Linked DNA regions of Neodiprion lecontei. The protein of the gene in region 1 binds, or shares a complex with, the protein of each later gene. Links are inferred from orthologs where the notes say so. Each region holds a gene or a part of one and is shown in the gene's direction. Other genes may lie near its edges.

Region 1 (7,609 bases):
GTACTGTAGAGGTATGGTGATACCACCCTCGGCATCTTGAGTACTAGCCATCCTTATTAGTTTGAAACTCCTATACGAATGAAAACACCAAAATTAAAATAGGCACTAATTATAATACAAATAAATATCATTCTAAATTGATTCAACTAAATATTTACGAGAAATACACACAATTTATCTGTTTACAATAGTTTTCTAACCATCAACAAGTCAAATACATTTATTTGTGGGTAGTAGAATAGGATGAACTTGTAGCATGAAAATACAAAACTGTTTCACTCTTTATTCTAAGTCAATAAATGTAGATCAATCAAATAATGTTGATAACAATCAACTCTTCATCTATAATTAACGACAGAATTATCTTCTTTATGACTGTGACAAAATGAAATATGTTACATCATCGCTTTACATGATTCCATGTAAATAATAGAGCAGCAAAATGTGCAAAACTTTTATTAAAAAGTATACGTGCCCGTCGCATGATTGAAATAATCCAAAATGATTGGTGATGATTAGCAGGATGATGAAATGGATTCTCAAACATAATAAGTTGAAACTAAGATTTTCACTTTCACTCACATGCTTATAAATTATAATAAGATGCAGAATTTGTTAACTATTACTCCATAAAATTTGAAATAAAAACTCTTTTATGCAATGCTTTTGTCTGCACCTGCTCTGCAATTAAACTTCAAAGTTTGAGTAAGGAGGTTGTTGAGCCACCGATCGGTGTTTATTTTTTATTTTATTATAATATAGTCATAAATTAGATATAAATATGTTTGTAAGCTACAATGATTTCTTAAAAAAAGCAAGATAACAAACGAATAATTAACAGCAGCTTAGATATCCATGTTTCATTTCAAACTGATTGACAGTGATGAAAAGTTTAGTATTGTCATTAGATTTCACTCTTATATGATGGCTGATTTTATTTGGAAAATTTTATTCCTTTCAAATTCTACTAGAACAGATGCAATTTCTTTTCAGTAGGCAATTGAGAATTGCCATTTGCTGATCACAAACAGTATCTGTTAAATGTTGTAAAATTAATTATTTAACAATGCTAACTTGATAAAAAAAAGTGTGTCAGTGGGATTGTAAGAAATTATGTCCTGAATATCATGAGCCAATATAGAGTAAAATGGAACGAATCTTATACTCGGTTTTTCATCATTTTGATGCGATTTAAATTAAGCATTGATATTCACGCTTTCGTTTATGATTGTCGGTAATTCGTAACTTTATATTTTGATAGGACATATTGCGGTGTTTGAATGTATTAATTTTGTAAAAACTTAACGTGCGACTATTTAGTATTAATATTGGTAGATAATATTGATTTTTTGTTCACCAACCTCCTTCGGAATCGAATGGAAAATCGATCATTGTTAACAATAAATATCCCCTGAAGCTACAATTCCATTAATATGAAGTTAGTAACGTTGATATAACGATGCATGTTAGGAGAAGTCGTTACTTCATATAGGATCGCCTCAAATTTGATTTTCGTGCTGTTCCGTTACGATAACGTTACTAACTTCAGCTTCGTGCAATTTTACGTAACTGAGGGGTAGATCAAGGTCAAACACTCCGAAATCGAAAAAATAAGGTTTATAACCTATCGTCGTAAAAGTGATATTAGCATAATCGTTGTCACCCAGTTATGATTCCAAAGAACGAATACCGAGTACGTATTCATGAGTATGAGTAGCGCGATTATTTAAAAAACGGAGTGCAAAGCAATTTAATTTCACATTTTCGTACGCGAAACATTAACCGTTACAATAAGAACACAGAATATTTATTCAATTCATACCTCGACGATTCGGCTATGCGATTCGGGCGAACGGACGACAAGTGGAAGGTGAGTATAGCAACTGTGTGTCAGGTCCAAAGTATTTACGCGGAGCTACGTACTGATGGTGATGAAATCATTTTTCGCCGTTATCGTACTATTGCAGATGGGTGCGGAGATAAGAAGCGTGGAGATAAAAAGTTTAAACTAGGACGTATCAATTTCGACAGCTGCAGTTTGTTGCGCACGAGGCCTTTATCCTCTATGGCAAACCACGATTATCAATGTGAAAAACCCAAGCGTGGAATCCCGTTAAGCACGTTTGCTGACGTTGCCCGAGGCCGAATTGGGTTATGTTCGAGGCGATCGTGATGGAGTGGCTGCAGGACCCGACGAATTTTACTTCGCGCTAAAAGGATACTGCTCATTCTTATAAGTAGTCGATCAAAGCTGAAGGAGATTCGAATTCCCCGACTTATAACTGAGCAGAAACCTGACTCAATCCACGAAGTTTCGGAGAAATCATTCGGTTATTTTAAACACCATCACCGCCGGTAACGCGTCACGGAGAATTGCAAGCATCGATTTAACCGGCTGTTGCGTCGCTTGCCTCTAGCTTGCCATGGCTGTCTGGCCTTTCCAATTTCCATTAGCCGTCCGGGTTTTACTGGGAGACTCCGTCACACACGCATCCGAGTCATCGACACGCTGGGACAGAGCGTAGCCTTGAACTTGTCCACTTTATTTCATAGCACAAGTTCGATAGTTCTTTTTTCAAATGTAGATTGTAGAATGAAAGTTCTCGACCTTATTATCTATATGGGCAAACCGTGTTCTCGGTGTCAAAAGTCAAATGGAGTAGTTAAATATTTTTACATTCCGGGGTGCTCACCTTTGAAACCGAGAATGCAGTTTTCCCGTTTTTCAAATATTGTGACACTCGAAGATCGGCAGAAATTTTCTGTCAATTATAAAGCTAAGGATGACTCGATCAAAAGTTAAAAAAGAGTTCAAAGTATAGAAAACAGTTAAAAAATATCCATTATTATACATAGTTAGAACGTTAAAAATTTATTTTCAGATATAGTTTTTCTAGTCTGATTCTAGTCTTTTGTGTTCATGTTGTTCGCTTAACAAAAAGTGATCTTACACTTCAATATAATTATAACGCGCGAATATAAATAGATTGAATCTGTTTTCCGTATTTACAAGTATCTATTTTATCCACTCTGGATAATTATTTGTAAAATTTATTTCAAATTTGGTAAAAGAGTGAGCCCAAAATATTGAAATGGAATGAAAAAACTTCCGTGTCCAAGAATTTTGAAGTTGTAATTATACAACCTTTTTTTAAGATGTTGAGATCTTAAATTTCGTTATTCTGATTGGCTCAGATACATTTCAATTGAATAGCAGAGCTATTGTTTCATTCGTGATCACTATCATTGAACCAAATACCATTAGTGGAGATTTGTAGAACGAATTTTTTTGTTTTTCCTAACTTTTAATTCAGACAGCCCAGCCGATAGATCATTAAAAATGATTCCAGACTTATAATACGAATGAAAAAATGAATATATACATTTTGAAAATGGTTATAAATATATTTTCACCTGGATCAAAACTGGTTTCGATTAAACTAGGTATGATTGACTTGAATGACGAGTAGTTTTATCTCAGTTGTAGTGTGGTACAAGATCCGCAATTATATAACAAAGGAATACAGGCTTCTTTACTAATAACATGTCGATTAGTATGTAGTGCATCAATTCTTCCTGTTTATTATAATGAAATCGACACACCTCTATAATTGCAATCATTGATCACTATGGAAGTCAATCAAAGTAAATGAGTTTGAAGCCTGTAAAACCTTGAAACAATGGTCAAAATGTTCGTATGTATAAAATTCAAGTTGGCAGTTATTCCAACTATATACCGAAAGTTAAGGAAGTGACAAAAAGTATTGAGAAGAACAACTTCTTTCAAATCCACTCTAATTATTCGGTGATTTGCTAATTATTCTAATTCTAGCCTCGATATTTATAGTTATTTTAACTCAGCCTATTTTCCGCGTATTCACTGCATATAATTACATCGAGTTTCAATTCAATGATTTGTGAAACAATAATTCTGATTGCTTGAGAAGTCGTCAGAATTTTTTAATTCAAAGAGTAGGCTGAAGCTTGTGTATATTTAAACAGTTCCCAGTAAACTTTGTATAGATTATCCTTGTTTGATCAATCAGTAAGATCAAAAGTGGTGCAAATATCAAAAGACGAGTAACTATATAAATATCCAGAAAAATAATGGTGGATATACGAACGTGCAATATAGTTAATAAAACATGATAGCTCGCTTTGTTAGCTGATCCATAGTAAAGGCTCCTGAAGTGACCACGCGTTTGAAATAATGGCGGGAACTATATCGACGGTTGCTATGCAACCAGTGTTGACAAACATTAAAGTAGAGAAATAAATGAATACGAGACGTTAAAAACATCACGTGTGAAATTTTGTGAATGGAATACCAAGAACCGAGTCTTTCCAAAGCGACTGATTATTTTTCCGATTCAAATGTGATTCAAGAATGTCGAAAAATATTGAGGGAAAAGCGAAAATAGCGAACACGTACCGCGTCAGCGAGCCGATTGTGAATTTCAAAATCAGGTAGGTGAATTAGCTAACAAAAATATTTAAAACTGTTATTCTGTTGGGTGGCCATCTGGCCAATGCGAACCCCCCCCGCCCTTCCTCCCTGGCCGTACGATGCCGTTTATTTCACTTTGGGTTTATTGTTTCAGAGTCAGAATTGCACAACAGAAATCCCGACTAGTTGAATTATTTAAAACGGAAGAAGAAACCAGAGATTCGAATTTTTTGGAATACGAGGAGAAAATTCTCTCCTGGCAGGAAAAAATTTTCGGCCGTTTCGAGGCGCAGTTTTACGCGGATTCAAAAAACTGTGCGACGAAACAGCAGAAACAGTATCACGAAACGATAACCGAGAAAAATATTACTGGGTCTCGCATATATACCTACATTGACGATGATTCTTATTTTCCCAATAAAGACTTACTGACAAAGCCGTACAAATCGCATTTGTCTCGAAAAAACGCGTCAGCGTTACCAACTTTGCAAAACCGAAAGCCCTTCGTTGAACGTTACAACAAAAAAGTTATCGACGATAATCCCGGAGATACTACAATTCGCACTAATCATTATCTCCACAGAGATTCCGCGACAATGTACATCATAGTCGATTTAATGCCGAACGCCAAGTCCAGTTCCTACGATTTTGATGACTCACAAATACTGTTGTGCACAATCACATTCGACAAAATTCATCGCTCTTTAACCGTCGATCCCGATTTCACGTACCAAGAGCCTTACGAAATTCACGGCACTGATATGAATTACGATTATTGGATCGAACATGCATCCGAAATTCAGTATCCTCAAGATTTGGAAACTGAAGTTAAAGAATTGCGTGGTGTAAGTGAAATTCCTTGAGTTATGTATCTCGGAAATATCGTCAGTAATTTGCGTTCGTATAATTCACTCGAAAATCAGACCAACGTGGATCAAGTTCAGATCAATAATAAAATTCCGTTAACATTGCTTCGGATATACGTACCCAACGTAGGAAATTTCGGATATCTGTCGCATCATTTTATGCGGGTAAAAGACGTTCATCTTGTCGGCTGATTCTTTATAATTTCCACCTTCTGACTTTTTTACTGTACCATAATTTACAGTACTTCACTGCAAATTATTCCGTGGTTTTATTCTTTTAAGTTAAGTTCCGGTTTCCATTATTTGAACTGCACACATTTTATTTCATTTGCGAGTAAAGTTTTAATCAGTATAGGTTATTAATTGAGTTTTATCACTGAATCTTACAAACAATATTTGTATTTTATATTTCCACGAATCTGAACCATAAACAATCTGACTGATTGTATTAAGTAAAGAAACTGGCAATGGATAAGGTTGGTGTATCAGACTCACTGATCTCGACTGCTATACTGTCTGCAAATAACTGAATTGTGTAGCTCCTTGAATGTCAGCTCAAACATTCTCCCACACTAACTCCATATGTTTACTCTATCAAATCGCACACACTCGAGTTTCACAGTGTAAAACAAATCCGACAAAATACTTTCACAATTTTATAATCCACATGCTCCACCTACAAAGCGATCCGCATAGCCTTGTACCTTCACTGCTTGAAGTCGATCAACTCTTTTAGATTGTTTTGTTCTTACTTATTGTCCTGTTATATTTCCTGATCCGACTTTGAGTCGCCAGGAAAAAACGAGTAATTTATACCATATGGATACAATTTGTCACGCATTTTTTATGGAGTTACTTCTCGGCGAGCAATCTTCTTTCTATCTAAAACAAAACAGTTTGTGCCCCAAAGACAATTGCCGATATTGAGAAATGAATCTGATCAACTACTCCCAAACCGAGCGTGCAGGAAATTAATTAGAGCCATTCTGTTGGTCATCCTTTTTTACTCTGATAATTTTACTTTGTGTACATTCACAGCAGGTAATGCAGAAGTTGAGCTACAGGGAAGCAGAAATCTTTCCTCAAATTGGATTACCTCCAGCTAATCGCCTGCGGATTTTTGTCAATCTGGACATTATGTCTGCTCACAACTTTCCGTACGATAGTTTGTTCGTGACGTATCACATTGAATTGCCTAAATATTGGAGTACAGATCAACCGGAACGTTTGACTGGTCGGACACAGCGATGTTCAATGACGAAAGGAAGTGCAAATTTCAGTTACGTAGCCGAATTTTGCATCGAGTTAAATTCATCCCGGTTAGAAGATGAGAAATCCTCAATTGCCTGGCCGTGGATTCTTATTTCGATAGCTTCTCTTGATAGCTGGACTAGGTAATTACATAAGTCGATAGAATCTTTGGTTCCTATACCTGAAGATTTAAAAACCCGAGTTAGGAATACAAGTTATGCTAATTTAAACTTTTAGTCACGCATGGTATTAGAACGTAAGTCATCAATTGTGAGACGCTATTTCCTGGTAGTGAAAAAAATAAATCAACTGTCTTAGCCATCATATTTCAGTATCAGCGCAGCTTTTAATCGCAAATTTTACGCTAGATTAACTTACTATCAAAAAATGGAAGCCTAACAGCTCGCACGATAATGCTGTGCCTTGATATTTGCAAAATTGATCTAAATTGACCAGCTGATCATCACTACTGCCGTCATATTGATAATTAGTATTGCCTATTTTTAACTGAATTTCAATAAATTAGTAATGAATCATGTTTGCTACAAAGGTACCGAATCGAAGGGTATGCGGCTGAAGCGCTTCCAGCTACTTCCGGATGTCACTACTTGACGTTGCATACTTGGCGACCAGTTGGAGACTTTTTAAACACTCTTCGCCGCTTCTTTACTGGCGGAACGTACGAGCTTCAAGATATGTCTTATTGTGGTATTCCCGCAATGTACGACGATACGAAATTGGAAAAAGCAAATTTGGAGACGGTGCCAAACGGTCAGATTGAACTGAAATTGAACATCATCCAGCAGAGCCGATCTTTCATCGATGGCAGCTGCTTTAAACGCGACACTTTCGAACGTCTAAGTGCTGGGCGACTTATGAACAGTGTTAACGACGTTCTTGAACAATTTAAGGCTGCCAGAGAACGGATGATAAAAGCACGCATCATGAACTCGTGAAATTGTCTTTTGACACGTACGTTTCGGAGAATTAGCGGAACGCGATGTGCGAAATCAAGGAAAATACGTGACTTCACAATTTAACAAAG
Region 2 (4,719 bases), on another chromosome or scaffold:
CCCTCGAGTTCGGCGTCGTGCTCTACTTATATACTTATATGCGCCCTGCCGGCATTTTGTTATTAATTTCAATATAAAAATTCTGAAACGTTCTTGAGACTATAACCAATAAAGCCTTCAAACTCGAATTGCTCTAACTGCTTACAATTTCTTAAAAAAAAAAAAAAAAAAAACTCCACAACTCTTCTCGCGTCGGATCGGTTATACAGCTGACAATGAGTAGGTATCCATGTCCGAGCTTTGGTCGAAACAACAAGAAGCTCACGATCAGCTACTGTATCATCGTTTTTCGCCCTTCCGATTTTCCATGTGTGTGCGTTGCGTAGATACGTAAAGGATGCCCGTCTGGCTGAGTTCATTTTACGCGCAGATCTCCTTGTATTCCCCGCACTTTATCACTTATTCTCATTCCGTGCACGTACCTCAATTTTATTTCAAGTCTTTCTCGCTCTCTTTCTCTCTCACCCAGCTCGCATCCGTCCATCCACTCCCTTCTCTCTCTCTCTCTCTCTCTCTGTCTATCACTCCGTCCTCCTCACTCTAATAAAAGCAGGCCGCTTGGGCTGTAATTTTGTTTCAAGCCTATTCATTCAACGGAGGCACCTCCACTTCATTAGCCCTACCAATCATCTCGGTTTACACAAGTAACGCGAACGATATCGCGTATCGCGTATCGCATGAGGTTCAATACGAAAGGAGAATGAAAAAGTTGCGTTAAAAAAAAAAATAAAGGATCGAACTATATTCAATATTACCCACATTTGTCGAACAAATTTCCCCCCGTTTATAATACGTATAACTCGGATTTCGAAATATTACACATGTTTGTTATACATTTCCCCACGAGAAACATCAAATAAAATTTTAATTACTCATTTATTGGATGTTTTCGCTTATGCAAATACGTAAAATTTTACTGCCCGTATCATATTTAGGATAATAATAATAATAATAATAATAATAATAATAATGATATTATATCTTTTATTCAAATTCAATACAATGATATAAAATCATTTCAACGAAATCAACACCCGTCCCAATCAAACAACAGCTCAGGGTAATTTATATCAACCCTGTTTTTGCCTTATGCACCAAATTATTAACGGAAATTCGGATTCAACTATTTTTCTTTTAAACAAACACAGGCAGAAAAAATTTAAAATAATGAAAACTTTTTTAACGTTCACGCAGCTGTTGAACAATTATCTTAAACTATGTAAGTATCATTCGAAATGACAGGAAGAACGTTCAACAAACGTTTCTTTTACCGTGATAAACAATTTACTTTCACAAAAGTGTCCGTGCATCACATAACGCAACGTGTGCACGATACGCAAATTTATTACGTAGACGTATACATATATTCATATTTCCTGAGGGTATGATATTCGTTCAAAGGAAACCACAGGCGGTAGTATAACTGTTAGTTATACATACACATGACACGCGGCGTGCATGCATAGGTCGAATTTGACCGAATATTGTAACCATCTCTTGATGTATTTAAATGTATACTTGCTAATTCCCTAAGTACCATCGTGCAACCTCTGCCGAGGCAGAGACTAAATCCAAAATATCCCATATCCAGGCCTTTGCGCTTTGGGTTTTAAGCGAAACGCGTTTACACCTGTGTAAGTAAGTATGATGCAAGGCACACGCGAATCCCGAAAAAGGGATTCTACGACGACGTGTGCGCGTGTGTGTGTGTGTGTATGATTACACATAGTGCGTTTGATGCGCGGGGCAAAAATGTGCAGATCTCGACGAAGGGTCGTGGAGATTAGTACATATCCGTATCTACCTCTATTCTTGTCGGTATGCAGTTCATTGATACAATGCACAAGTAGCGATAACAAGTACGAGTTTAATAAAAATGGAAATTTATTTGTTCGCGGATGAGGCCGAAAAACATGAGAATTGTAGTTTAAGAAACACCATTGTTTAATCATTTTGGTAGTTATATTTATAAAACTATTTCTGAAAATTTCCGGACATTTTTTTAACGATTATTTCTCGTTTCCCATTAATTTTCATACATATACGTATACATGTATATATATATATATATATATATATACATACATATGTAATATATATCCGTGTATAGAATATGTATAAGTCGCATATATAAATATGTCAGATGTAGAATCGAGTATGAGGCAGTTCAGTTCGGCTTCGAGCCGAGCGAAAGCCCCGAGTGCCTGAGCACTTCAAAGTTCCGGTTCCGCTGCCCTCCGACAGGGTAAAACCCATTAACTGTAATGTATGTATGCACGTGTGTACGTAAAATATATACATATATACACACACCTTGTAAATGCAGATTAAGGTGTTTCGTGCGAAGATCGATGTGGCGTTGAAAATATTGTAATCCCCCGAAAAGACGTAACAACGTCAACTACTTTTGTTTTATGAAAGAAGAAACGGTTTTTTTTTTTTTTTTTTCATATAGAATATAACGTATTGAACAATAAATATCTGTTCATTCCTGCTACGCGGACCAAGTTCGTTTCCCATACTGTAAGGTGAATGTATTTTTAATTTTTTATGGTACAAGTATTGGATTTTAAATGAAATTTTCTCCACTCCTTCGCTACCTTCGCCCAACGACAACGAGGAGATATATGTGTATATGTAAATACAGACGCCTCCTTTGAAGGTAATGGAAACGGAGTGACGAAAGGGGTAACAGACAAAGAATAATATAAGTGAATAAGAAATTGTGACAAGCCGCGGGCGGGATGGAAATCCTCTGTTCGAGTCGAAGCGTTATATCATATTATACAAGAATAACGGTGTATCGGAAATATACATGTATATTATTTTTTTGTCATTCTCTTCTTTAGATATAACGTGTATTCATGCGTAATAACACAAGAAATAGCGATACGCTGATAAGAAATAGCGTAGAAGTAAGAAAAGTGAAGAAAAAAAAAAAGAAAAAAAAAGAAAAAAAAAATTGAGACGTTACATTCAGCAACGGATATGCCCGGAGGCGGGCAAGCAGGCAGGTACATACCAAATAGGTATACTTTTATTTTCCCCACTTTTACCTCGTCGGTTTACTTTACTTTGTCCTTTTCTTCTCCTTTCTTGTTCTCGTTTTATTTTATTTTTTTCTTTTATTTTTTTTTTTTTTTTTTTTCACCCCGTGGCCTGAAGTCGATACTTTGAAAAATTTTAACAAGCGACGAAATGCTAAACTCCTTGCGTCTTAAGGCTCAAAGCTGGCAGCTTAAACTTCACTCAGGGCCAAGCTGCGAGCTCGAGCCAAGATGTAAATGAGATATAGATTGTGCGGATATACGAGATACATCTAGGCGAGAAAGGCGTGAAGAGAGTATAAAAGGAAGTGAAGGAGACGGGGAGTTACGGAAAAATTTAAGGATAAACTTTTCCGTCCCGTTTACACAACCGCAAAACATACAAGCAACCACTGTAACCGAGTTTATAAAATGCCACACGTACTTTATTTTATACGTTATAAGTGTGCGTCAGGATGCTCCTTGTTCAGGGTGTCGACGAATCTTTTCGATGTCTGAATTTTTTTTTTTTTTTATTCAGAGGTAGCGCGATTCGTCCAGATTGCCTGATATGACGATATTTATTTTTTTTTTCAGATGGCAGGACTAATGCCCACCAAAACTTCGCCGTTGAAGATTTTTCGGAACATTATTACTCTTACAATAAAATATCTGTTGAGAAAAATACGTTTTTTCCTTGTTATTACCGTAAGAAACATCGATCGTAACTTTGATGAAATTTATTCACCGAGCGTATGATTTTTGGAAAAATTTTGAAACCGCTGAAAGTGTGTGTGTGTGATAGGCATACCTTAATATACGCGACGTATTAACGAGAGATATAATTACCAGTTACGTGTGAGCAGAGAGTGTGTATATATATATACGATATGGGATGAAAATTTGAATGGTTCCTCGGCTCGTTTCCCTGGATACGTACGTAACGCAACGAAATGCCTTTCGGCGAACCTATTCCGGGCACAATTTCCCCGTATCTACTGTTCTATCGAAGTCAATTAATTTCGTGTAAATATTAATTATCCTCGACTACTTTCCCCGGAAGGCACATCAGTTTCGGCTTAATTACTTTGGTGATCACTGAATAAGACATGTTGAAACGTACGTTATACACACCTGTGATACTCGAGACTCTCTTACCTTCCCCCAGTTAACGGAGAGGGGATATCTTGCCCCTTTTACCTTTCCGACTATCCGTCTTTAAAATCAACTAATTGATTCTCATTGAAAACCAGGTGCCAAGAATTGCGTGCTGATGAAGAAAAAACGAGTGTACGTACAGCGATTGTTCACTAACGCCTTGGAGTTTCGGCTAACTTGTTTTCGCTTCGAAATAAAATTTATAACGCGATTTCTATTCTATACCAATTATTTAACAATGACTCCTAATCTCTGACGTAGACGCGAAAACAAGTTAGCCGTAAACCTAACGCGTTAATAAACATTAATTTACAAGTGATTTGTCGATAGTTATTAATTTTGGAAAAATGTGTGCTGGAACAAACCAAAAAAAAAAAAAAAAACCAATAAAACACGTAGTAAACAAAAACCAACGAAAAGCGATATTTGCTTTTCTCCGCTGTTCCGCCGCTAATGGCAACGCATTTCTTGTAGGGTACGTGAAACGGAAATAGGCAAGTGACTCGGATAGTTAGACACACGATATCATTCCACA
Region 3 (6,631 bases), on another chromosome or scaffold:
AATTTCTGATCAAACGCATCTGAGATGTTGTGCGCAGGATCTGTGGAAATGATCAAGACGTTCTCGCGAACTTTAGCTAGTTGAATGGCCAAGGAGCAGCTGTATTGAAAAAAGAATTAGAGATACAATTATCGGTTTATGAATGTCATTTTAACCGGACAACTATTTTCCTACGATATTTTCTCCCTCATGTATAGGTTATGTACACATCACCTGCATGTTGTTTTCCCAACGCCTCCTTTTCCGCCGACGAATATCCATCTCAACGATCGTTGATCAATCACGTTTCGCACGGACGCTTCCAGCGGCTCAAATTCGACATTCGCAGCCATATTTTTCAATCTCTGATTAACTCAAAAATCGAAATGTCACCCGTCACGACAAACTAATTTCGCAGTTTCGCTGCTTGCGCTCAAGCGTCACGCTCTGCGCCAATCTTTCACAGCTGATGCTAATGACAGTTGTTCCCAACTTGTGCTCAACTGTTACAGTGATAAACACAGATGCTCAAACAATGATGCAATCAATATATCTATGCTTTTACGAATCCTGTATTGCGTTTGAATTCATGTCAAACAAGTTTTATTGAAGAATGAAACCTTATTAGCCATTGTACAATGACGGTATCATTCCATTTTATGAGTTACGAAGCCGTGAGATTCATTGACCGAAAGCTAATTCCGCTATATTTTACAATTCATCCCTGGCTAAAATGACCGTCCCGATTGCGAATTGAGTTCCTTGAGACACTGTACTGGAACTAAATAAAAGAAAAATAATGCATTTCGACTTTTACTCGGATAGCCAAAAACTCGCTCCACATTTTGAAATCATAAAATTGAAAATACATCTAAATCTACCTCCACTACAGTACGATTAAAGTTCGTTGTGAACTCGACCCATCTCTGGACTTTGAGCGAAATTCGACATAACACAGCTAGGTATTATAATATCATTCAGGTATATTCATCAAAATAAATGCGGTTTCAACCGCGACACTTGCAAACACAAATTGAATCGTGAACTAAAATTACGCGTCTAAGTTACAAAATGTTAACATTGTGAATTTTTTAAAAAGTAGAATGCGATTTTAGCACGGCATTTTTTTTTTTCATCAAATCAAATGCGTCATCGCGCCTGCAGGTTTGTCTCTCCGAATATCCCCTGAGTTGCCATGGAAACGGGCGGTAGGTATAAGACTGTAAACAATACAATACATAACGCACCCGCATATCGAATGGTTTAAAAATGTTTTTCATACACGATCCGTTTGTTCGTTATTTATTTTTCTCCGTTATTTTAGAAAATATTTTCCAAGTAAACACGTATCCGAACGGGGAGTTGTTTCAATACGTTACTCCTAGTATGTGCAAAAGAGGGGAATATTTCAACGTTGGATCATTAATTTGCACAGCTTGTGACACGACGAAGAACCTCGAACCCTCCAAAGACCGCAAGTTTAATTTATTGCCTAATTTATTGATATTTTAGGGAGCATGGTGTAATTTCTTCATTTTTGTTTTATTATATACTATCAATTATTTGTACTTTCAATAAATTAAAATGATGTGTAAACTTTTTCCAACTTATACTTTCGACCTGTCTCATTCATTGTATAAAATACAGTTAATAAATGAATCTGAAAAAAGTTGTAAAATTTTGAATTCACCATTACAGGACTTGATTGTGTTTGCAATAAACAAAGTAGGTTTGTCAATTTTGAAAATGGTAATCCGACCTGTGAGCCGTGTGGCCCTGACAGGATTCCCACAATTGACGGACTGGACTGCGTTCCATGTTCTGATGCTAGTACTAATAGTAGCTGCGAATGTTCGCTGACTGAAGTCAGATGTGAGAAACTGTTTTACCTCTTTGTGTATAGTATAAAGAACAACTGAATATTGAGAACATAAAATTACGTCGATATTTTTAGTGGAACGAGACATTAATGGGACTCTTTTGAATAACGTAAGATGCATTCCATGTCCAGAGAACTCCTATCCATCGCCAGATGGAACGAGTTGCATACCGTGTAGAAAAAAATCATTCAGGAGTCACATCAATTGCCCCTGCCCATTAGTTTCACATTTGAAAATCAAAGAGTACTGTATTAAGAAAAATGGGATAATGGAATGGCCTGATGTGAGAAGTACGTACTTAGTCAAATACGAAAGCCAACATATCGACAGTTATTACTTTAGAAATGAGCTACAACTAGCCGTTTACCTGTGTAAAGTAAGTATTCACTGATCGGTATTCTTGGTATTGCTTTCTCGGAGGAATGCGAAAAAATTCACACAATAGCATGGAGTGAAGATTCTCCCAAAGATTCGAAAGATGAACAATTTAAAATTGAACCAGCGGTGCATAAATAACTTCATTTGTAATAATTATTGAAATTCATCACACTAGAATTTTGTATTTGTTTTCAGAATGGAAACAAAACAGCTTGCGAGCATATGGCAAATATGTGCACCCTGACTTTATTTACATCTTTGATACCATGTAAATTATTTTGGGATAAACATAACTCTCCTTTATGGCTGTACTATGGAGAAGGTGAAGCCCCAACAGTTCTCAATCGTAAAAAAATTTCACAGCAGTATAGTCTGGATGTAGAGAGTAATGTACGTAGAGAATGAAACGAAATTGTATGAAAAAAAACTCATTTGTTGGCACTATGTCGTTAATGACTTTTTTTTATTTCACCACAGAGTAGCAGGTTGAATATTACATTTGCCACATTTTCAATGAATGGACAATATCAATCGATCTCAGCACCAACTTTAATCTGCGACTTGTTCAAAAATATCAGATTTGGTATTAATATTGAAAAGTCGTGTGCAACAACTGCCAAAATACTCAATGATATAAGAATGGAGTTTTTTGAACCATATCTTGGATACAGAGAGGGCGACAAAATGATTTTATACGCACTGCCGGTTCTGATAAGAAATACAAATAAGGTGAGATGGTTAAGACATTTTTCATAATTAAGGATAAAGGCAGCAAAAAATGCCCAAGTCTCTTCTTCATCTTTGCGGCACTGTTTAGGATGAAATTGATGCTTCTCGATGGCAACTGGTAAGGAGATTTTTCTTTACTGATACTATAGCTGGCATTAAAGCCTTGCCAACGTCGTTAGGCACTGCTTTTAAGAGAGAAGAATATCCAACTGTTGTGAGATATGCTAAATCTATTAATATTTTGTGAGTATTGCCTCGTTTTTTGAAAATGTGTGTGCTGTGTTGCAAAAATTTACTGTCATATACTGAGTAATTTTTTTCAATCATTCAGAATCAAAGTGCAGAATAAAGAAGAGAAGGGAAAAATATTCCCACCGTTACTTATGATAGAATATGGTGAATTGCTAAACGAACATGTGCGTCAAAACGTTGAGGTGCAAATTAGCTATAAAATCACTTACATATTGGCAGATAACGACATGTACAATGCCATAGAGGTAAACAAGTTTATTTTCAAGTAATAACGAACGCACAATTTTGTTTGCCTAAAATAATCTTTAATTAATCACTCGAGCACATCATTCATTCTTCTGATCAAATTTTTATGCATTTCAGGTGTCTACAGGCGTTTTGTCGAGTTTAGCAGTTGCTTTTGCCGCAATCAAGGCATGGAGCCATTGTAAACGAAATGGCAGTGAAGTTCCAAATACCTCCACGTTTTTCTGGTTTTTTATATTTTGCTGCGGTTTACTAGGAAACGTATTTATATTCGTAGTTTTCTGCGCCAGTGCTTACATGTTCATCTTTTTTAAAGGGCAGACCGTGATGCATGTTTTATTACCGAGCGAGGCCAACGAGGAGACTGTCAGAATATTCGTGATCGTTGCATTCTCTTTAAAAGTGAATAATGATATATTTTCATTCTTTACAAATCTGTCTGACAATTTTGAAAGGTTACTGCACCAATTATGTTTGCAGCTTGTTGAGATAATGGGACTCGTCTATCAGATTAGAAACATTGACATGTTTTTCATTGATTGGGAACAACCGAGGTCTGTTCAAAGCCAACCAAAGTACGATTCACCTCGTACATCTCTAAAGAAATTGTACGCTAATAGATTCTCTGGTGAAAAACGTAGCTCACCAAAAACACCATCAGAAATAATATCAGCTAGTAGAAACAAAACACCGCACAAATTGAGTAGCATTAATACCCCGAGCAGGCGATCAAGACTCTCGATTCAGAGTGATTTAAACGATTCGAATCTCCCCAATCAATCAGGTGGAGATATTTTCTCTATGGGAGATACTGCTGATCGTACCGATCAAAAAAAATTGCCAGTTAGTATTTGGCGAACTTATTTCATCGCTAATGAATGGTACAAAATTCAAACAATCAGAAAAGTAAATATGCTTGTACAAGGCATTGCAACACTGTTCATTTTAGAGGTCAGTAAAATTTATATGAGCTTTTTGGTAAAAATTGTTGCACGAATTGTTAAATAAATTATGTACAACATTTTATTCCCACAGGTTGTTAATGTTAAATTCTGGGCACGTTCAGATCCAGAACTTAGCATTCGTGCTGTAGAGTCAACTTTGCAGGAAAGAGAAAGCTTTACGCTAAAATTTGCTGTTGGTACCTTAGTATATATGTTTGTATACCTTGTACAATGGCTGACAATGGTTATATTTTATAACAGATACGTCAAGAATCATATCAAAGAATTCATTGACTTATGTTCAATGGCAAATATCAGTATATTTATTCTTTCTCAGAACCATTACGGATATTATATTCATGGAAGGTATGGTTCATCAATTTGTTACAAAATTCATACTTGTGTGAATACAAAGTTGATGGTTAGAACTTATTTTTCTGATTTAGCAACTGAACTTTTCATAAAGTATTCAACTTTCAGATCAGTCCACGGATTTGCAGATACTGATCTAGCTACTTTGATCAGCGACCTAAAACAAGAAGAAGAAAATTTGTGCGCACACAGAGGACTTCTACCCGGTACTACAGAGCAAAGCTTTGTAATATCAGTGTCAGCAACTTTCAGAAACTTTTATGATAAAATCATGAACCCAATCAAATTGGTAGGAGTTATAAAGGATTCAGAATGTTATAATTTTGTTTTTCTTTTAATTTTGTTTTATCGCAATCTTCGAGGAGAATTCTAATATAAAGAGAACATTGTATATTCTCTGTTGCAGGAAGAGAGCAGATTTCTTAGAAGTGACATAATTTCAACGTCAAATTTGGAAAGAAACATTCAAACATATCAGAAGATGAAACAATTCCTGACCCAATTTATAGATCACTGTTTCAAAGACTTGGAATACACTGTTAGAGATAAGCAATTCCTTGAAAAACTTTTAGACATTGAATTCAGAGAAGGAGTCGAAAAATCAATTTTCTATGTTGGTAAGAAGCTTGATTGTTCACAATATTGGGGAATTATTATTTTGCAACACAAAATATAAAATGCTTTCTCCTTTTCAGACAACAACCATTCCTTTGATCGTGCCATGTTCTATGGGAACGAATGGATGTTAGTAACTTTTGAAATTACCTTATTCAACTTTATGGAAGCCCTATTTGAGGACTACACTTTGGCGATAATAGTCACAGTATTCGCGTCACAGCTGTTAATTATCTGTTGCAAGTTTAATGGTAAGAAAAATTTAGCTCAGAAAACGTTGATCGATGAAAGATTTTTACTATGATTTAAGAAAATGAGCCAAAGTAATTTTATGCGGACAAGAAACTAAGTTTTCCAGGGTGCCTAAGTAGAAGCCCAGAAGTATGTCCATACTACCTAGAGTCCAGAATATAATTAAGATCTTTGTAGCTCTAGAATAATTGGTAACCCTGTTTAATGGGACTATCATTTGTCATTTGCTTTTATATGAGTATAAATATAAGAAAACCAGAAATGGACGAGGTAAAACGATTTTAAGGTCGTATTTACGAAGGTATCAGGATGATTGAGAAAATCGTGAGGTCACTGTTATACATGTACCGCTCATGTATTCTAATTACTGCTTCTACAAATACAAACTAATATTAAGTTAAATGTCATTGATTTATATGACATCAAAGAAAGACTGGATAAAGTGTGGCAAGTATTGTTCAAAAGTAAATAATGGGGAATATAATATGCAGATATATTGAAAACATGTCTATTGGTACAAAATAAAATCCTCCTAAAACAATAATCACACTGTTCGCTGTATATATTTTCTTGATTCATGTTAAGTTAAGTCTAATAGAAATAGTTCGAATAATAGGAATTTTAGTTACTGTATTTATTATATCACAAACTACACTTGTATCATCACCATCATTTCATTTATTATATCAACAGTGTGAACTGGAAAGAAATTTAATGATGACCACCATGTTCTCCACTATGTGCATCATGGTCATGGCTATGGCCATGGCCATATTCAATTCCCAGAGCTTTTTCAAGTCCTATTGTTAAGAGAAACAATGGAATACCCAATTTGAGGCCACATGTCGCGTACCGGAAGCCACGCCCCCAAAATGTTCCCCACTTTGTTACGTCGTAACGCCAAACTTCATTCCGCAGCCAAGGATCTCTTAAACCTTCCTTTGCCAATTTTTCTTGAACGCGTAGCAGTTCAGGTGCATTTTC
Region 4 (3,370 bases), on another chromosome or scaffold:
AAATTGTTCAGCCAAACGAAGGAAATTTACAAAGTCTACGTTTGTAAGCAATAGACTTTTGTAATTACCATTGAAGTACGAGCCACAATTTTAAAGTCACGTGGTCTCTGAACCTCAACTGGCCTAGAAGAACCCATCCTTCCAAGACTACTACCAGGCAGTTTCACCCAAGTGTATTCATTGGTCGGGGATAAGTTGAATGAAGGTGGTGGTGGAGGTGGCACAGGCACATATTCATTGTTGACAGTCCGCCTTAGAGGTGTTGAATCCATCATGTAATCTAAGAATGGATGAGATTGAATCATCGGTATTGAGTAAAGGCAGTCAAAATGCATGTGTCATAACACACATTTGAAATTGATTATCAATGTTACTGATACATATTGAAATATTTAGTTAAATTTCATCCACAAGTGTCGTAAGAATTCATATTTTGTCATAACACAATCTAAATCCAAAATCATTATGTAATGCTGGATAGAAAATCTTTGAGAATATACAAACTATATTGCTAGAGGGAATTAAATGTTTCGGAATGTTCAGAGACGTAAAATCAGAAAATAGTCTGAAAAAAAAGACATTCTAAAAGCAAATATCAGTGCAAGAAATTGAAAAAATATCTGAATACAAATAAAATTATAGATTATGTCAAGGAGATATTCAATGTGCAATCGAATTGAGGGTATAATATACAAGTCTTCCTAGAGTAGAAAATAGATAAAAAGAAAATGAGCACCATCATTGAAGTTCATTTCCATATCATCAGCGTATGAAGTTTCGACCATGGGCGGTGCCCTGTACTCCATAGCTCTAGAACCTGGCGCCAAATAATTTGTAGCCGGAATCGGGTGCATGGTTTTATTATGAAGCTTATTGGTCGTCAATGTAATTCGACCATTGAGGCCCGTTTGACGAGAAATTCCACTGAGAGGTAAATCGACAGTTTTCAAATGAGTGGCACGTAATTTGTCCAACTTCAACCTGGCATCAGACTGCTTGGCTATTTGAGCTAGTTTATCTCGAGCATCAGTGAGTTTCTCACGATTCTTTTGGATGATTTTGAATCTAGCATCCGCAATGACCGGCCCTCCTCGACCTCTCGAAGATACGTTAGTTCGTAGAGTACTTCGGTTGATGCCTCTTCTCGACCTGTAATATTGGTGAGATATCATAAGCTTGCTGTAATTAATGAGCATCAGATATGATTGTGGCTCGATAGATGTTTTTGAAGGTTATAAGATTCATGGTGAAGTAAGGCTTAAGTAACGAGCTTTACTCACAGAAAAAATTTTGAGATTTCAATAAGAAAATGATAAATTCTCAACTCACCCGCGGCCTTTCATTGCTGAAATTTTGGATTTCTTGATTATGTCATCTAAACTAAGCACATTATCGGCCATGCTTCGACAAACTGTACCCTGGTAACTACAAAAACAATCGAACGATGAACCCTAACTTACACCCCTGATGGATCTATGGGGGAACGCCGTTTTGGATCTGTTTGATGTATCGCAGTAGCGGCAGTAGCTATTGGTGGCCATTGGCCTACGAGTAAGTGACGCGACCACGACGCGAACCTTAGCACGTGTTCCGAAACGCACAACGAATTGCCGTGTACCAGAGTTACCACTTCAGTGCGATTTTATGATACGGCAGGTAATACTGTACAATGCTCTAACAATAAGTAATTAGTTGCAGTCATACATTACTTATGCATTTACCGTCGCGGCACCTCGACAATTAGTTAAAAAAAACCTATTCCATGTCAAAGGGTGTTACTAAATCAGGGGGGCTCACTCTCTCTAAATATCCTTGGTTTGTGGTTGCAGAAATATTTGTTGTCACAGCGACCTGTAGACCACTTTAGGTTAATAACTTTTTTTATGCAATGTGGAAGGATACAGTAATAAGTGCATCAGATAGAATATTTCCAGGTCTCGCTTATCACAATCGAATAAAAGAATTTCATGACATCGGTAATAAACCTTGCGATCTATTCGACGATGTCGGAATGGTCAGCGTCGCGTTGATGTTCGTATTCTACGTTACTTTTGCCATTTTACAGGAAACGTGATTAAGTCCAGTTTACCGCTACAAATGGCACTGTATTTCAATACTTGGCTATTTCCGTTTTGGTTTTTCATCAGTTTGAATCTTCTCGATCAAAAAGTAACTACTCTTAACGAATAGCAGCAATATTGCTGATATTTTAACCCCGTTAAAGCCCGGTAAACCCATCACCGGTTAAATATTGATTACCCATAGTTGACTCGTTATCAAGAATGTACGTATTGATATTTTAATCTAATACTTTAAGCTTAACTAAAGTTGTGATTTTTTTTCAGTACCATAAACTATCGGACATTTACAAATTTATAACTGTTGGCGTTTTCGTAATTGTTGCCGTTTCGGAATGCATACGACTGTACCTAGGATACCTTGGAAATTTGGCAGAGAAGGTTTAGGCGTTGTATTTGCGTGAACTTGAAAAAACTTCAATGAAATGTTATGGAGAAAATTACCATATTTGCGTGATTTCAGATTCCCGAGTTGGCTTGCTTTTGGCTGATTTCAACACTGATACAATTTCCTCTACAAATGTTTACTCTTGTTGATGGTAGGATGCTGCCAGGTAGAGGAGAACATGTAGTAAACAGCGTTATGTTAGTTTTCCTCCTCACTGAAATAATTACTGGAACAATTGCATTAAGAAATTCGGCCAATCATCATGCAAAAAGATTTTACCTCGCACAACTGTACGAAATTAATGAAAAACTAGAGTAAGACCGATGAAATATCTTTGAACTGTAATGCTTGTATATATGAAATATTAAACTATTCATCACTTAATTATTTCATAACTCAATTATACAATCATTAACCTCGTATAAAACATAAACATACATACATATCTTTCATCTGTACATAGGTATAAAGTAATAAATTTATGACCCACAATCACTCATTACCTAGTTTCATTTGGCACCTATCAGAATTGTGTAAATACACGATTTAATCTGCGGAGCAGCAGCCAGTCACCTATTGGTCACGTTTGCAGTGAATCCAACTGTTGTTGAACACATTTTAAATATTCGTTGTAAAAATATGTTTGTACTAAAATGTAAAAACTGCACATGGAAAAACTTGTAGATCAAGTTTTAAGACCACATATCATCAGTTTGCTTCTGAGCCTATATTCAAGACTCGTGATTAAGTTCCGAAATAGATAAATCTTGAAAAGTATTTTCAAATATCTTGATAATAATATGTTATCTACCAAACATAGTTAAATCAAGCTTGGCGTTCACAAAGAAAAAATTAAAGTATTTTTCAAGCTCGCCATGAAATTTACTGAAGTAACTGTTGGTTA

What was found.
Region 2: Meckel syndrome type 1 protein (region 1) and B9 domain-containing protein 2-like share a complex: the UniProt entries of both Homo sapiens proteins name them as parts of the tectonic-like complex. The link is inferred for Neodiprion lecontei from reciprocal best matches to the Homo sapiens genes MKS1 and B9D2.
Region 3: Meckel syndrome type 1 protein (region 1) and meckelin share a complex: the UniProt entries of both Homo sapiens proteins name them as parts of the tectonic-like complex. The link is inferred for Neodiprion lecontei from reciprocal best matches to the Homo sapiens genes MKS1 and TMEM67.
Region 4: Meckel syndrome type 1 protein (region 1) and transmembrane protein 17B share a complex: the UniProt entries of both Homo sapiens proteins name them as parts of the tectonic-like complex. The link is inferred for Neodiprion lecontei from reciprocal best matches to the Homo sapiens genes MKS1 and TMEM17.

Annotation. Positions count from the first base shown.
Region 1 is NC_060261.1:15,444,221-15,451,829, reverse strand, and holds the start of Meckel syndrome type 1 protein, read left to right. Parts: upstream 1-1,581; 5' UTR 1,582-1,615; intron 1,616-1,822; exon of another isoform or gene 1,823-1,986; intron 1,987-3,006; exon of another isoform or gene 3,007-4,165; 5' UTR 4,166-4,387; coding exon 4,388-4,467; intron 4,468-4,601; coding exon 4,602-5,292; intron 5,293-5,434; coding exon of another isoform or gene 5,435-5,493; exon of another isoform or gene 5,494-6,298; intron 6,299-6,351; coding exon 6,352-6,707; intron 6,708-7,114; coding exon 7,115-7,520; 3' UTR 7,521-7,609. Other genes in the region: rhomboid-related protein 2, read right to left, coding at 1-70, 5,435-5,493. UniProt on the Homo sapiens protein: Component of the tectonic-like complex, a complex localized at the transition zone of primary cilia and acting as a barrier that prevents diffusion of transmembrane proteins between the cilia and plasma membranes.
Region 2 is NC_060266.1:23,876,179-23,880,897, forward strand, and holds the start of B9 domain-containing protein 2-like, read left to right. Parts: upstream 1-1,689; 5' UTR 1,690-1,699; intron 1,700-2,219; 5' UTR 2,220-2,224; intron 2,225-4,719. UniProt on the Homo sapiens protein: Component of the tectonic-like complex, a complex localized at the transition zone of primary cilia and acting as a barrier that prevents diffusion of transmembrane proteins between the cilia and plasma membranes.
Region 3 is NC_060260.1:37,172,300-37,178,930, reverse strand, and holds meckelin, read left to right. Parts: upstream 1-1,716; 5' UTR 1,717-1,851; intron 1,852-1,933; 5' UTR 1,934-2,127; coding exon 2,128-2,235; intron 2,236-2,432; coding exon 2,433-2,627; intron 2,628-2,714; coding exon 2,715-2,966; intron 2,967-3,054; coding exon 3,055-3,209; intron 3,210-3,297; coding exon 3,298-3,463; intron 3,464-3,581; coding exon 3,582-3,866; intron 3,867-3,944; coding exon 3,945-4,415; intron 4,416-4,499; coding exon 4,500-4,774; intron 4,775-4,888; coding exon 4,889-5,069; intron 5,070-5,186; coding exon 5,187-5,397; intron 5,398-5,475; coding exon 5,476-5,699; 3' UTR 5,700-6,125; downstream 6,126-6,631. Other genes in the region: ATPase ASNA1 homolog, read right to left, coding at 1-99, 214-332; NADH dehydrogenase [ubiquinone] 1 beta subcomplex subunit 3, read right to left, coding at 6,359-6,631. UniProt on the Homo sapiens protein: Required for ciliary structure and function. Part of the tectonic-like complex which is required for tissue-specific ciliogenesis and may regulate ciliary membrane composition.
Region 4 is NC_060263.1:2,800,244-2,803,613, reverse strand, and holds transmembrane protein 17B, read left to right. Parts: upstream 1-1,662; 5' UTR 1,663-1,888; coding exon 1,889-1,976; intron 1,977-2,065; coding exon 2,066-2,169; intron 2,170-2,345; coding exon 2,346-2,459; intron 2,460-2,522; exon of another isoform or gene 2,523-2,541; coding exon 2,542-2,784; 3' UTR 2,785-2,850; downstream 2,851-3,370. Other genes in the region: uncharacterized protein LOC107222077, read right to left, coding at 69-280, 737-1,149, 1,330-1,400. UniProt on the Homo sapiens protein: Transmembrane component of the tectonic-like complex, a complex localized at the transition zone of primary cilia and acting as a barrier that prevents diffusion of transmembrane proteins between the cilia and plasma membranes.